3 linked regions of the Caenorhabditis elegans genome follow. The protein of the gene in region 1 interacts with the protein of each later gene in a pairwise test. Each region holds a gene or a part of one and is shown on either strand. Other genes may lie near its edges.

Evidence for each region. The genes of interacting proteins can lie anywhere in the genome.
Region 2: the proteins of cul-3 (region 1) and bath-15 interact in a two-hybrid assay, tested with the Caenorhabditis elegans proteins (one large-scale study listed by BioGRID).
Region 3: the proteins of cul-3 (region 1) and agns-1 interact in a two-hybrid assay, tested with the Caenorhabditis elegans proteins (one large-scale study listed by BioGRID).

What each region holds. Positions count from the first base shown.
Region 1 is NC_003283.11:175,929-183,581, reverse strand, and holds the start of cul-3 (Cullin-3), read right to left. Parts: upstream 6,004-7,653; 5' UTR 5,939-6,003; coding exon 5,882-5,938; intron 5,113-5,881; coding exon 4,196-5,112; intron 3,391-4,195; coding exon 2,754-3,390; intron 2,100-2,753; coding exon 1,721-2,099; intron 1-1,720. UniProt on the Caenorhabditis elegans protein: Probable core component of multiple cullin-RING-based BCB (BTB-CUL3-BTB) E3 ubiquitin-protein ligase complexes which mediate the ubiquitination and subsequent proteasomal degradation of target proteins.
Region 2 is NC_003281.10:7,774,146-7,777,633, forward strand, and holds bath-15 (BTB domain-containing protein), read right to left. Parts: upstream 1,889-3,488; 5' UTR 1,870-1,888; coding exon 1,757-1,869; intron 1,715-1,756; coding exon 1,333-1,714; intron 1,282-1,332; coding exon 1,134-1,281; intron 1,089-1,133; coding exon 937-1,088; intron 882-936; coding exon 735-881; 3' UTR 532-734; downstream 1-531. Other genes in the region: Homeobox protein mab-5, read right to left, coding at 3,124-3,246. UniProt on the Caenorhabditis elegans protein: Probable substrate-specific adapter of an E3 ubiquitin-protein ligase complex which mediates the ubiquitination and subsequent proteasomal degradation of target proteins.
Region 3 is NC_003281.10:10,480,292-10,484,474, reverse strand, and holds agns-1 (BTB domain-containing protein), read right to left. Parts: upstream 2,188-4,183; 5' UTR 2,125-2,187; coding exon 2,008-2,124; intron 1,559-2,007; coding exon 1,295-1,558; intron 1,245-1,294; coding exon 1,121-1,244; intron 916-1,120; coding exon 839-915; intron 762-838; coding exon 627-761; 3' UTR 532-626; downstream 1-531. Other genes in the region: D2045.7 (non-specific serine/threonine protein kinase), read right to left, coding at 2,331-2,523, 2,923-3,044, 3,583-3,864, 3,928-4,089.

The sequences.
Region 1 (7,653 bases):
GTGAAAAAGGCAAATTTTACTAGGGAATGGTGTTACCCCTGCAATCGCTAGGAGGACAAAACAAAGTGAAAATGGAAGATCAGATCTATGGCTACAAGAATCAGTTTTTGGAATCTGCTTAACTCGGTCCCAAAGCTGAAATTTTCGGTCTTAAAAAGTAGTCCTTTTTTTGCTCAAAATGCCGTTTTTCGTGTGTAGAAGTGGCTACATAAAAGTTTGGCACTGCAGCCGCCGTTCGAATGGCCGATTGGTGAACTCTTGTGCTCATTAATCTAAAGGTCACGGGTTCGTTCCCCACTAGGTATTAATTTTTTTTTGAATTTTTCCTCTAGCATGAAATATGCACAAAAACACGGTTTCTTCCGTTTTTTGGTAACTTCGGAATAAATTTTTTGGTTCCTGGGAATCATAAAAGTAATTTGGAAACTTTTTGGAAGTTTTCTTTTTTTGATAAATTTTCACTTTTCTCCCACCTGATGTATGCACATTTTTTTCTTCAAAAATAATTTTTCAAAATTTTTTCAAAAAGTGTTTGGTTTGAAAGAGCAGCATTAGTTTGGATATTTCTACGATTTTGGAGGATCAAATGTCATTTTTAGGAGAAAACCACTGTTGTTTTCTCTAGACTTTTTCACGAAAAGGACCTACTTTCAAAGACTTCCAGCTCCGTTGACGAGTAAAATAAAAAAGAGTTGTCAACTGCAAAGTTATTTTAAAAGTACCAATAAACAAATTGTCAGTTGAAGTTACTCTGCTAAATTTTATGGGTAGAGAGATATGGACATTAGTAATTAAGTAAGTTAAAGCTTCACTTCGATTAGCTATATCTCTCTACCCATAAAATTTAGCAGAGTAACTTCAACTGACAATTTGTTCATTGGTACTTTTGAAATAACTTTGCAGTTGACAACTCTTTTTTATTTTACTCGTCAACGGAGCTGGAAGTCTTTGAAAGTAGGTCCTTTTCGTGAAAAAGTCTAGAGAAAACAACAGTGGTTTTCTCCTAAAAATGACATTTGATCCTCCAAAATCGTAGAAATATCCAAACTAATGCTGCTCTTTCAAACCAAACACTTTTTGAAAAAATTTTGAAAAATTATTTTTGAAGAAAAAAATGTGCATACATCAGGTGGGAGAAAAGTGAAAATTTATCAAAAAAAGAAAACTTCCAAAAAGTTTCCAAATTACTTTTATGATTCCCAGGAACCAAAAAATTTATTCCGAAGTTACCAAAAAACGGAAGAAACCGTGTTTTTGTGCATATTTCATGCTAGAGGAAAAATTCAAAAAAAAATTAATACCTAGTGGGGAACGAACCCGTGACCTTTAGATTAATGAGCACAAGAGTTCACCAATCGGCCATTCGAACGGCGGCTGCAGTGCCAAACTTTTATGTAGCCACTTCTACACACGAAAAACGGCATTTTGAGCAAAAAAAGGACTACTTTTTAAGACCGAAAATTTCAGCTTTGGGACCGAGTTAAGCAGATTCCAAAAACTGATTCTTGTAGCCATAGATCTGATCTTCCATTTTCACTTTGTTTGTCCTCCTAGCGATTGCAGGGGTAACACCATTCCCTAGTTAGCAAAAAAAACCCAACTTTGCCAACTTTCCCATGTCCCATGGGAAAGTTGGCTGCAGCGATTGGAAATTGATTTTTTTTTCAAATTATCAATTTTTTTCAAAAAAATTCGAAAAACTATAATTTCCTTTTCATACCTATCGCATCTTTTCCCTTATTCTTTCTGACCAAAATCCGCTGCGACGCTTTTCCGAGAGCCAGCGACTGCAAATTCCTCTTCAACTCTCGCTCGGGAATCTTAAGCTCATCCATCAGCTGCTGACATGAGATCCGATTGTGATGGTTGAACTGAAGGAGAATGATCATCTGATGCGTATTGACCTGGAGAATCTTGTGCTCCGGTTTTCGTTCTTTCATCGACTCTCCACTGCTCGACGGTCCAGGACCATTTTCCTCGTTTGACATGGATGCTTTTGGTGGTGGATAGAATGTGGCTTTGACGTCAGCGTTTCCGAGAAGTGTGTTGATTGTCAGCTTACGGCCAGTGTGCTTTTCAGTGTAGTATTGTGTGAACATCTGAAAAACGAGGGGAAATTGAAGAAATTCCAAAAATCTTTGTGAAAAAATATTTTTTTAAAAATTGCCCTGGTTTTATATTTTAGCTTGAAAGCACGTTTAATCGCACCCAATAATATTTTTAAACTCGCGCCAGAGATATTCTCATTGGAGCGCACCGTGTTGTGTCGATTTACGGAGATTTCAGTTTTTCCACAAAAATGAAACATACTTATTGAAAAATTGAAATTGGCCTGAAAATTTCATGAGAAATCTCGTAAATCGACACAAGTGTGGCGGTCCAATGAGAATGTCTCTGGTGCGCGTGTGAAAAGCGATTTCAAGCAAAAATAATAGATATTCGGAATCTTTTTTGGCTTTTCTGGCAGAAAAATGGATTTCTAGGTATTTGGTCAGAAAAACTAGAAGAAACGTTTTTTTTTTGAATTCATCTCATCGCGACTGGAAATTAAATTTTGAAAAAAAAACATACTTGTTGTTTTTTGATTGGAAAAACCGAAAAAAATATATATTGTCTCTAAAATGCACATTTTTCTGTATAAAAAATCCATCTTTTGGCAAAAAACGACAACCCTGCGTGTAAGCAGACATTTTTGCGGGTTTTGTGAAACATCAAGCTCAAAAATTGCAAAACCAATTGAAAATTCGAATTACCTCATAGGCAACCGACAACTCTTGCGGCAACACAACCGGATTACACTGAACCGTCGGCCAAACGCCCGCCGTCAAAACTCTAAGCGATATGTCAATGCTCATTTTGGTCGGCTGAGCCTCTCGCCAGTCTCTGAAGCTTGTGGCCAGTGTCAGCCAAAGCTCCTTGTCTCTGAACATATTCTCAAGCTTCTGAGTAAACTGGCAACCACACTCTGTCTTCAGCTTTGCCAGCAGAGCCTTCTCCACATCGTCGGAGCACGATTTGTCGAGCAAGAGACGTTTGGCGAGGTATTGCTTGAAATACTTCTCGAATACATCCTTCTCCTGTAGATAGCGGAACAAGATCATCACATTGTCGAGCTTATTGTCCATTTCGGCGTCCGACACACATTTCAGACCGCTTCGCAGCATATCGTCCATGTAGAGGGCCACAAATTCCGGCGATTGGCGATTCGAGTTGAGGAACGTCTCGAAATCATGCTGGAAGCGATTCTTAAAGTCACGATCGTCGGCAAACGCAGTGGTGAGCAGACTGGAGAAGTAGTCTTTGAGCTGGAGCAATTCGTTGACAAAATTGACGGGGTTTTTGAGCAGATCCTCATTTTTCACAATGTTCGAGCCGGTTTCGTTGAGATATCTGGAAAAAAAAGTTAACTTTTCTTGCTGAGCAACCCCCAATTCTGCTCTAGTTTTCTGAATGCTCCGTGTTCAACTGTTAGGGTTGGTGTTATCTAAAAACTAAAACCACCAACAGCTGAGGCGTTTTAAGGAGAAGCGGCGGTGTTCGACGTAATGGACAACAGAACAAATAAACAGATTGCTGCGGGCGAGTGACACGGGTTTAGGTCAGAAAAGTAGAGTTTGATAAATAAAAATACAGTAAATTGGCTGGAATTTAAATTTCTTGAAGCGAAAACGTGGCCGCGAAACCTCTACTAACACGGCCATGTGTAGATTTACGCGACTCGTGTACTCCACGTGGATTATTTTTTACGGTTTCTGGCTGAAATGCTTGCATTGGTGGTGTTTTACCATTAAAATTAGAAATAATTTGAACGATTAAGCATTTTAGCTAAACACTGTAAAATCCTCTTCAAAAAAAGTGCCAAAGTAAAGTCTAGATTTAACCATCAAATACATAAATTTTCGAGGAGCACAAAAGCTGGTTAAACCGACACATGGAGCCATTTTGGGTGAAATTTTCAATTTTTTACAAAATAAAATCATTGAAATCTCCGCATTAAAGCAAAAACCCGTAATTTCTGGGGTAAAAAAACAAAATTTCCCCTCGAAGAGTACACAGGCTTCGTAAATCGACAGATAACCATGCTAGTGCCTTTTTGTGGTGAAAATTGTTCAAATTTTAATTTTACAACGTTCCTCCCACGGCTGTAATCACCAAATAATTCAATTTCTAAAAAAAAATCGCGCGAAAAACTCACTCGCTAACCGCCTTAAGCAGCGCCTTCAATCCACCACCCGGTACTGTCACCGAATCTCCGATACGTTTGAAAATACGGAAAATGCGAGTCAAATCCTCAATCTTCTTGTGCTCCAACATAAACTTCACACCACCATTCTGCATGTAGACAATCGTCTGAATATGCTCAGCAACCATCACATCATCCATCACCTGCAGGATTTTGGCCTCTGTCATTTTGTCAAGATATCTCGACGCTCGGCTCGCCTCGTCGTGCATCGCAATCTCCACCTGTGCCAGATAGAAGCACGCGTCATTGTCGCCAGAAAGCCAATTCTTGCACACATCCCGATAGTAATCACTAGTCTCCTTCAGAAGTGGCCTCTCAAATTCGTCCTCATAAACCGTCCGGCTATCGATTCCTAGCGAGATGAGCATATCACACGCGTTTTTTATTCCGTGCCAATTGATTTGATTCGATTTTCGATCCAATTTGATAAGCTCCAGAAGAGCATCGCGAATTCGGTCGCCAATCCCGTTTTGCCGCAGAATTTCCGTCCGATACGCGTCGAGACCCAGATTATAGACCGGCAGGACGTGATTATTCTGTGCCACGTAGATCCGATCCATATACATCAGAATATCACGAATCATGACCATGGCGACAGTGTGATCAGCCCACGATTCGGCGACAGTCTCCAGGAAGCTTCCAGAATTCATTGATTCGATAATTCGAATTCGAACCGACGCCATATGATCCTGAATCACGTCTTTCAGGCCATTATAGAGACGTTCTCCGTGCTTGTGGAGCACCATTGTATATGCGTTGCGGTAGAGCTCCTCGAAACTCAAGCCCGAATTGTTTTTGCGTTGGATTTCCTGTATGGCACGCTTCAAAAGTTCCCATGTCTGTGTCACATATTGCTCGTCTATTGTGGCCTGAAAAAAAATCATTTTTCTCCGTTTTTTTTTTGCGGCTTTTCTAAATTTTGGGCATTTTCCTTAAATGACCAAAAACTGGCCCGACTATTAAAAAATTTCCAAAATTTCATTATAAGAATTCAAAATTTTCGGAAAAGCGCCAAAATTTGCTAAACTCAGGGATTTTCCAGCTAGAAAAGTTTACGAAATATCAGATTTTAGCAAAATTTGGCAAAAATTTTGGAACTTTTTTGGGATGAAATTCGGTAAATTTCGATCAAAAATGCGTTTTTTTTTCGTGAAAAAAACGCGAAAAACTCTTATGTGAGGTCATTTTTGCGAGAACATTGCCGTTTATAACAAATTTCATGTTTCTAATGGCTAGTCCAAGCAAATAGGAAAAAAAATAGAAAATCGATAAAAAACGGCGGAAATACGATTTTACAGTTTTTCTCTTCGTTTTTTCCTGGTTAAACGGTCAAAAACAATTATTGACCATTAGAAATCCCTCAGAATCGATTTTGTTATATGAAAAAAAAATATTTTGCTTTTGTTCTTTAGAAATGACGAGTTTTGGCACGTGGCACGCAAACTGAAAATGATTGCCACGTGGCATACAGTTGCCAGTGGAAAAATATCAGTTTCTCATCAGAAATTGACGGATTGTTCGGATATCGCGGATAATTCGGCCGTAACATTCCAAGTTTCGTTTTAAAAAAATCGATTTTTCACGCAAAACAAGGAGACAGGCTTGATAGAGGACTAAAATCTGTGTGTGTAAACCTACCATAAATGGGCGAATTCTCATTTTTTGTTGTCCACCATTACCGGAGCGTCCGCTCATCTCCAAAAATGAGTCGATTCCGAACGAACTGGTCAAGTCAGAATCTCGCTCGTTTTTCGTGCACACTGAAATAAACTTGATTTTCCGTTCTCGAAAAGCAAAAAATTTGAAAAAATCGTACTGCGGAATGTTATTATTGCAGAAAAAGCGCGCACTGATAACAGAAAAAACAAAACTAACTATTTTCAGCTTCAAAGTTGAGAAGTCGCGAGTAATTCGAAATAAATCGATTTTGCTTTGTTTTTTTTTCGAAAAAACTTTGAAAATCCGGTAATTAGAATGTCACGCAAAAATAAATAGCTGGATATCAACTTAATTACTCGGAAAAATCAATATCATTATCTCGAAAGTCACTGGAATTTTAATTTCGCGCGTTTTTCCAGAACTTTTTGCCTATTTTCCGGCTCAATCAATCAATATTTCACTTCGAATCAAGTCTAAAACACCTTTAAAAGCTTCAATTTCGAAAAAAACTATGAAAAATGCGAGAAAAATCGAACGGGAACAGTGTGTTTTGGAGTTCAGAAGTGCACCGAGACTGCGTCAATGCGGGTTTGCTGGCGCGCTCCTCGTGCGTTGGCGCTTTTCTCGTGAGGAAGCTTTAAAAATTAATTTTCAACCAGAATTTTAGAATTTTCAGAGAAAATTGGCGGTGTCCACGTGGAAAAATAAATAGTGTTTTCGGTAGAATAAACTTTAAATTTATTTAAAAGTACAAAATTTGTGGAAAGCCCTCGAAAATCGGTTGAAAACGATCTAAAATGATTAAATTTACTTAATAAATTAACAATATTCGCTGTTTCAAATTAATAGAAAGTCGCAAAATAAATATTTTTATTTGAAAATAAGATGATGTTGAAATTGGAAATTTGAGAAAAAACAAGAATTTTAAAAAAATCAGAAAAATAAATAAAATTATAATTAGCCGAGTCGAAGTTGACGTTGAGAAGAGGAAGTTGAGTGATCTGAAAAAAGAAACAGTTTAATAAACGAAAACGAGTTTTAATACTTCAGGAAGGAGTACAGAAATATACAACATTTCCTATTCAAGCGGAAAACGGAAATTATGGGGTGTTTAGGGTGGCGGAAGAAGCTGGGATCAAATCATTCATACAGTTCAACTACAATGATTCGAGTCATGGCTTCCTGGATCTTATTACTTTTTATTCTGAATTTTTTAATTTCCTGTAAGTTTTGCCAAAAGCTAGGATTTTTTGAAGGCGTAAAAATCGTGTTTTGCCATAAATCTGAGTAATCTTACAATTAGTAAGCTGAGCGTAATTGTTCAAAAAATGGTATAATTTTTCACAATTTTTCTCAATTTTGCACCAATAATTCAAAAATGGTCAATTTATTATTTCGAAATTTCTGCGTTTTAGGCTTTAGGCTAAGAGAAAATCCAATAAATATTGCAGGAATACGCAAAAAATAGAATTCATTCGCGCAGGAATTCAAAATTAATGTGGTCATTTCTAATTTTTTTTGCGAAATTTAAAAATAATAGCAATTATATACAGATTTTTTTCACTGTTTTCTCTTTTTTTGCAATTAAAGTCAGGGCTACCGTACTCCTGGTGGCTCGTGTTCTTCACCGTGTATATTACGGTAACGCAAAATTCTGAGAATGCGTATTGCGCAGCAAATTTGACGCGCAAAATATCTCGTAGCGAAAACTACAGTAATTTTTTTAAAAATTGCTACTGTAGCGCTTGTGT
Region 2 (3,488 bases), on another chromosome or scaffold:
AATTGAATCGAATTTGTCTGCAGTTGCATCTTCTTTGAGCATTTTTCCCTATTTCAGAAAACTGTTGGCCAGGCTGTTCCGTGAAATCGTAATGAAACCATAAATTAAGCATTGATATCCATCCGAAATTGACCATATTGTAGCCAGACATGCGAATAACAATTAGAAACTATTTTTACATGCACAGAGCGTTAATAACCGAAAAGAATATAAAAAATAATTTTTTTTTTCTAACTTTCGAGTGTAATTGTTGACAATTTTTGTATCAGCGCGTTCAGTTTTTCATTAAAAATTCCCAAAATGATGCAACAAACAGTTTTTTTCCTGCTTAACATTTGATACCTAAAATGAAAACGTAAAAACACCGTTTCGAAGAGAAATTCAAGTCACAAAAAACCATCATTTTTTTCAGTGCAAAATAATTCATGAAAATAACAAAAATGCAAGTGCGCGCTAATGCAAATTTCCATCGGAGGAGACTGTGCCATTGACCAACTCAGTCAATTTCAATCTTCTAAAACGCATAAAGTTTTTTTATTATGTTTTTACTCCGGAAAATAAGACCAATGTTCAAATATTTGAGCAATATTGACTCCTTAATAAACCTGGTTGACGAATTTTTAAAGATGAGTAAAAGAAAAATACATATATTTTCACAGAGATATTTAGTTAGTACCAGCGAATCAAAGACTAAATCACAATAATATATTAGCGCTAAAACAGGAAAAAAATGATTATACTGAATCAGAAATCGCAGATCGATGAAGAGCCGTGGATTTTTTGAGGAGAGTCGCCAGCACAATCGGGTCCATTTCTTCCGGATTATAAGCCATTGCAGCTTCAATCTCATCGATCGTGTTGATTTTCGAGATACAAACGGTCTGAAAATCAAAATTTATTTTAGTTTTCAGGAATTTTCAAAAAATAAAATTTTACTTTTAAATTCTCCAGCTGATATTGGTTAGCCATTTTTAACAGCTCTCTCATCGATTTCATCGACTTTTCGATCAAAAACTCCTCGCATTTTCGAATTGCCAAGGTAACATCGAGCATGTGGGCAAGTAGAAGAACTCCATCGATGGTACCATCTGAAAATTTAATTATTTTAATTTAAAATCAATTCAATATCTAACCATCAATCGCAGGTTCTCCATATAGAACCTCCAAAAGGCTCTGAAAATCGGTCGGATCGATGTTTTGGAGTGTAACCTCTGATTGATCGGCTTCTTTGAATTTTCCAAGAAAAAGTGCATTGAAATATGAAGAATGAGACGCCAGGAACTGAAAAATATTGAATATTGAATGGAAAATTCGATTGTAAAAAAAACCTACTAGTTTCAAAACATAAAACTTCTCGTCTCCAACTACAAGGATCACATCGGAAAATCTTTTTTCTGATTCATCGAAGCTTCTGAGCACATCTTTCGAGAATCCTGTCATTTTTGTGATCTTCACACATGCTTCAATAGTAAAACTATTATCGTATAGAAAATCTTCTGTCAATGAGTCCCAACTGACAAAATCATTCCATCCCAGTCCAAATCCATCGAAACATCCCTTTTGGAATTTCATTGCATAACTTCCTGATGATGAAGCTATTTTTAAGCTGAATTCGGCGTCGACTGTCCAGGCGACGTTGTCATCTTTCTCATTGTCACAGTGTAGGTACGCTTCCAGTTGATCTTTCGTGCGAATAACCAATATAAACCTGAAACTAAAGATATTTTATGTAATCTATGACTTGGATAAGACTTACCATTCCGCATTGTAATGAATTTCTTCGGGGCTTTTAAAAAAATCGCCATCTTCCAATTGTGAAACATCCTTGAAAGTGTGATGAAACACGAATTCCTTGCTTGCGGCGACCATTTTGAAGAGTTTGCTGAAATTAAACATTTTTAAAACTCAAAAAGTCGAAAAAATCAAATAATTTTTAAATTAAAAGTCATTTGTCCGCTAGAAAAACGATAACTTTGCAAAGTTTGACGAAAAAAAAAAGATTACAAAAAATCTAATGTGCGTAAATTAGAATGCATTATGTTCATTGCGTACTCTCTCATCTACCGTAGTTCGCTGACTATTTGTTCGAAATGCAGCATTTATACTATTTACCATCGATAGATCCTTCTAAAACGCATAAAGTATTTAATTATGTTTCTACTTCGGAAAATAATGCCAATGTTCAAATATTTGAGCAATATTGACTCCTTAATAAAAAAAGGAGTCAATATTGCTCAAATATTTGAACTTGCAAAAGTATATACAAATATTTGAACTTGCAAAAGAATAAACCTGGTTGACGAATTTTTAAAGATGAGTAACAAAAAATACATTTATTTTCACAGAGATATTTAGTTAGTACCAGTGAATCAATGACTAAATTTTAAAAAAATTAAAAAAGCTAATCAACTTTCCGAGAAATTGGACATCTCAAACCTGCAGTTTCTTTGCGAGGTACTGTAGAAAAGATATTTTCAGGTTTATATAATTATTTCTAAAGTTTCAAGTGTTACTAAGGTATTATTTGGAGGCAATCAATGAAGCTTTACTACCAATCATCCAGTACATATTCACACTTTGTGGCCCAGTTTTACAGATTCTTATGTTCATTAGAAATCGACGATATAATTTTTTAGTGTGACGTAACTCAGTTCACTTTTTTATAACTACATGGTATATCAACAATCTTCTTTTGCATCTGGCACAGTGAAATATGTGTCGTTTCACAAATGTCCTTCAATTTGTGAGGTCCTCTGTGAAACATAATGACAGATCAATTTCATCTCCAAAAATCAAAGCAAACAGATATGTTACTGTAGAAAAATTTTCAAGAAAAAAAAATCAAAAAATAGGCTAGCAGTGTGTAAAAAACAATTTTCGAGACAAAGGTTGAGATCATCAAATCCCAAAGAAGCAAAGGAAGAAATTGAGAAATAATCAATAAAAACAAAGACCCGTCGAAAGGGCGTGGAATCCTTTCAGGTCGTTTAAAAGCAATATATCACCGATGAAGAATGCAAAAAATCAAAGGAAAATGACAAAAATGGGAGCAAAACAATGAAAAGCGACCGGAAACGAGGTAAAAAGAAATTCAAATTAGATTCTGACCAAAAAAAGTGAAAATCAAGAAGAATGTTGTTCATTTTGCTCATCTTGATTTGATTCTTCATCTGATTCATTGCTTCCACCTTCTCCTTTTGCCTCTTTTTTGTGTTTCATACGACGATTTTGGAACCAGATTTTTACCTGCAAAAAGTTAATTGTATCTATTAAATACTTATTTATTAAAACAAAACAGATTATTCACGTGGTGTCAGGCTGTCTCATTGCGGTTTGATCTACGAAAAATGCGGGAATATTTTCCCAGAAAAATTGTGACGTCAGCACAGTCTTAACCATGCGAAATCAGATCAGATGTCTGCGTCACTTCTCCCGCATTTTTTCGAAGATCAAAGCAAAATGGGACTTTTTGACTCCACGTGATTATT
Region 3 (4,183 bases), on another chromosome or scaffold:
AGACGACACATGTTGTACAGGAGATGTGAAGAGGAGATGCCGACGGACGAAAAAACAACATTCGAGTGGACACTCCCTCACGGAAAACTACTATTATCATTTCGAGGTCAATCGCTAATTGTGAACACTTTCCCCCGTTTTTTCTAGAAAAAGGGAGAGGGAGAAATAATATTGCAAATAATGAACTGGCAAGTAGGAGAGGTTTTTAGTTTTCTTAAATTTTAATTTTTAATTTAAATAAATTTTAATCATTTTAATCATTTTAACCATTTTAATAACTTTAATCATTTTAATAAATATACATAAATTTAAATTCAATTTTTTAAACATTTTTTGCACATTTTTTTTCGATTATTTATTGTCATATTTACTTAGTTTTTATAACTTTAAAAATTGATATCTGACTTCAAATAAATTTTTTTCAAAATTTTTCTTCGGGGAATTGTTGCAAATTTTATGCTCTTTCTGAATTTAATAACAAAATTTCAGTAACTGCCTTAAGTTTTCAGTTGAATCAGATTTCAGGCATGTTTTTGCACATTTTTTAAAAACATGTACAACAATATTTATTTTTACAAAATAAATAAATATACAAAAATCTAGAATTTATCGAGTTTCCGTTGATTTCAATGCAGCTCTTCGTGCTCCACGAGTTCCATAGGAATTTCGTTGAAAAACGATTTAGTGCCACGTCTTCTTTTCTCGGCGTCTTTCAACAGTTTTTGCATGCACTCTTCCACTAGATTACAGTCCATTGGACCCTGAATTAAGAAAATTTTTGGCTTAAAAAATATACCTGCCTTCATTGCCTATTTCCTGATGCATTTGAAAGGCTTACCTTTATTCTTGCGGTGATTTTCTTGGCGCGAAGGAAGAAGCTCCATGAGCAATCCTCGTTGAACTCCGGCTCGGTTACTAAAAATTTTGAAATATAGGTGTCTTGAAGATAGCTAAATATTCATTTTTTGACCGATTTCCGCGGTTTGCTCAAACTATTTTTATGGGTTTTTCTATATTTTCAGATTGTTGTGCTCAAAATTCTGAAAAGTACTACAGTTTTTAAAAATAGTTTTTCGATAAAATTCCGCAGCAACATGCAAATTTAAAAAACTCAACTCACTTAAGATAAAAGCCACGTGTTTGTGGTATTCCTCAGACAATTCTCGAAACTTTGTCTCGCTGAAATAATAGCTTTGATTTCCACTCGTGGCAATGTATACCGGCAATCTCAACACCACAATTGGCTGAAAAACATGCAAAATAGGCACGTAGGTAGGCAGGCAAATGGGCAAACCTTTTCGGTTGCAAAAATGATCTTTCTGGCTTCTAACACTGTTGAAACCAGATGATAATAGGGATTGAGTGACTGTTCCAATCGTTCCCCGCATAGCTCAATCAGTGGGTCTAATAGAAAATAACTGGCTTCTGCAAGAACTTCTCGAACTTCACGATCGGAATCCGGTAGGGCTATTTGACCGTCTCGGAGGAAATTCAAAATTAGTCGGAAATGTTTGGAATCTCGATCTATGAATACACTTCCTTCCTCGTTTTTTGTCACCTGCAAATGGGATCATCTATAGATAAACTCGGTTCTGTAATCCACTTGGAAAATAATTTGAAAATTTCGAAATTGATTTGAAAATTAATGTTTTTCCTCGAAATTGAAAAAATTGTTTTAACAAAAATTCATATGAAATGTGTATTTTCTGTAAAATTCTGCGTTTTTTCAAACATGGTGCATTGATTCCGAAAATGAAAATTTTGCACACATGATATTTTTCCCGAACAAGTTTGGGTTTTTTTGTTGTTTTCATAGTTTCGTAAACAATTTTCTTTTTAAAAAATGTGCTCGGAATATTTTTTTTTAATTTAGAAATTCTGTAAAAACTGGAAAAAACGATAAAGTGTATTCTATTTATTTTCCTCAAAATAAACGTTTTTTAATCAAGTTCATCCTACAAAAAATTGTAAACCTTATCTGAAAAAAAAACAATTTAAAAAATTTACCGGCACATCCGTACAAAACATAGTTTTAAGCATTGAATCATGCTTGCACAATGTGAAAATTGTCGTCTTGAAAATTTTGCCGCCAACATCCAATTTTACAATAGTCGAGGGCTCCATGACAGTACGAATTTTGGAAAATATTTTATTAATTTTTTTTTCGGTCAAAAATGGTGATAATTGATAAGAAGCTGTATGTTTATTTTTCAGTGATAAGAGAAAAGAGGTGACAGAGAAAAAGTGAAATAAGTATGCATAGATTGGAATGTTTCAAGTATTCACAGAAAATGTTTTGAAAAAGTTTTCAGGGTCCCGCCACGAAACTGTCACGTCGTCTCTCGCATGCCCAAATCAAACTCTTCGTCGGTTATTTCTGGATTTTCGGCTTCTTCTGGGGTGTCGAAGTTCGCCAGAAGATTGTCAACTTTCGCTCGAAGTTCTCCAATTGTTGGTCGCTGGTTGGGATCGACGATTAGGATGGATTTGATGAGATTTATCGATTTTTCGCTGATGTGTCGGCTGGAAATTGGGGTTTTAAGAATTTTTGCCGAGAGTTTTAAAGATTACTCTAAAAAAATAAAATTTTCGCGAATTGATTAGAAAATGCCAACAATTTGAAAACAAATTTTCTGGATTTTTTGAAACTCAGAAGTTCAAAATTGAATACACTCCCACGCACTTTTTCTCGTTTTCCGTCTTCATTAACATTACAAAAACCTCGTGACTGTCCAGTTAGAGCATTATGGGAAAAACGTGACAATTTACATGTCAAAGTTTACAAATTACAATTTAATCTCAAACAAAGATAAGGCAACGCGTGGGCTAATTATCACTGTTTTTGCAACACAAAAAATTTGAAATTATCATCAGAATTAAGAAAAAATTTCGAAAAGTTGGACGGTAATTCAAAAATCTCACTTCTCATTCCACTTGATCATATGCGGACTTTGTGTCGCCAGTGCAATACTGCCACCTTGTTCGTAAATCTTGTTGAACGGGTTCTCCAGGTACAGGAACTCGTAGAGGCACACGCCGAGAGCCTGGAAATGATTTACATTATCGCATAATAAAAATTATAGAAAAATAAGAATTCCGCCTGCCTGCGTGCCTACGTGCCTACGTGCCTACGTGCCTACGTGCCTACGTGCCTACGTGCCTACGTGCCTACGTGCCTACGTGCCTACGTGCCTACGTGCCTACGTGCCTACGTGCCTACGTGCCTACGTGCCTACGTGCCTATGTGCCTACGTGCCTACGTGCCTACGTGCCTACGTGCCTACGTGCCTACCTGCCTACGTGCCTACGTGCCTATGTGCCTACGTGCCTACATGCCTGCCGTACCTACGTTTAGCCTGATTGTCTTTTAAAATTCTTCTTTAGCCTGCCTGCCTATGAACCGTCTACATGACTTATGCCTACCTACCTCAAGCCAGCCCGCCAACGGCATGCCTGTCTGCTTATTAACATTCTACGTGCCTACCTACCTATCTTAGGCCTGCCTACCTACATGTCTACCTTCTCACGTGCCTACCGCTTGCCTGTCTTACCAACTGCCTATAATACTTCAAAAAAGCTCACCCAAACATCGACAGCAGTCGTCAGAGTTGAGCCAATTTCACAGTTAAAAAGCTCCGGAGCCCTATACATCATACTACACAACTCCTCGGCATCCTCCTTATGCCTGTGATGATCTGCAGAAGTTTTGATTTCGATCGGCATTTTTGTAGCTGATCCGAAATCAATCATCTTTATAGTGTCGCCGGATTTCAGAATATTGGCGGGCTTAATGTCCAAATGAGCAAATTCAAAGCCATGCAGTTGCTCGATAGCTGACACAATTCCGGAAAAATATTTCAGGTGCTGGAAAAATATATAATTTTTCATTGGAAAAATCAATAAATTTCCAATTTCTTACAACCTCACCTTAAGCTCATCAACCTCTCCGCCAATCTTCAACTCTTCAATATATTCCAAAAAGTTTTGCGAGTACTTATCAAATAGGAGATAATGGGTGATATCATCCACAATATGGGCCATAAGATCGATTACAAATTCATTGTTTTCCAGCTTTTTGTACAAATCGATCTGAAAAAAGTCGATAAATTTTAGGTGTAAATCTGTGAACCCAATATTTTTTAATTGATAATTTTGTAAAAATCTATAATTTCCTGAAAAATCT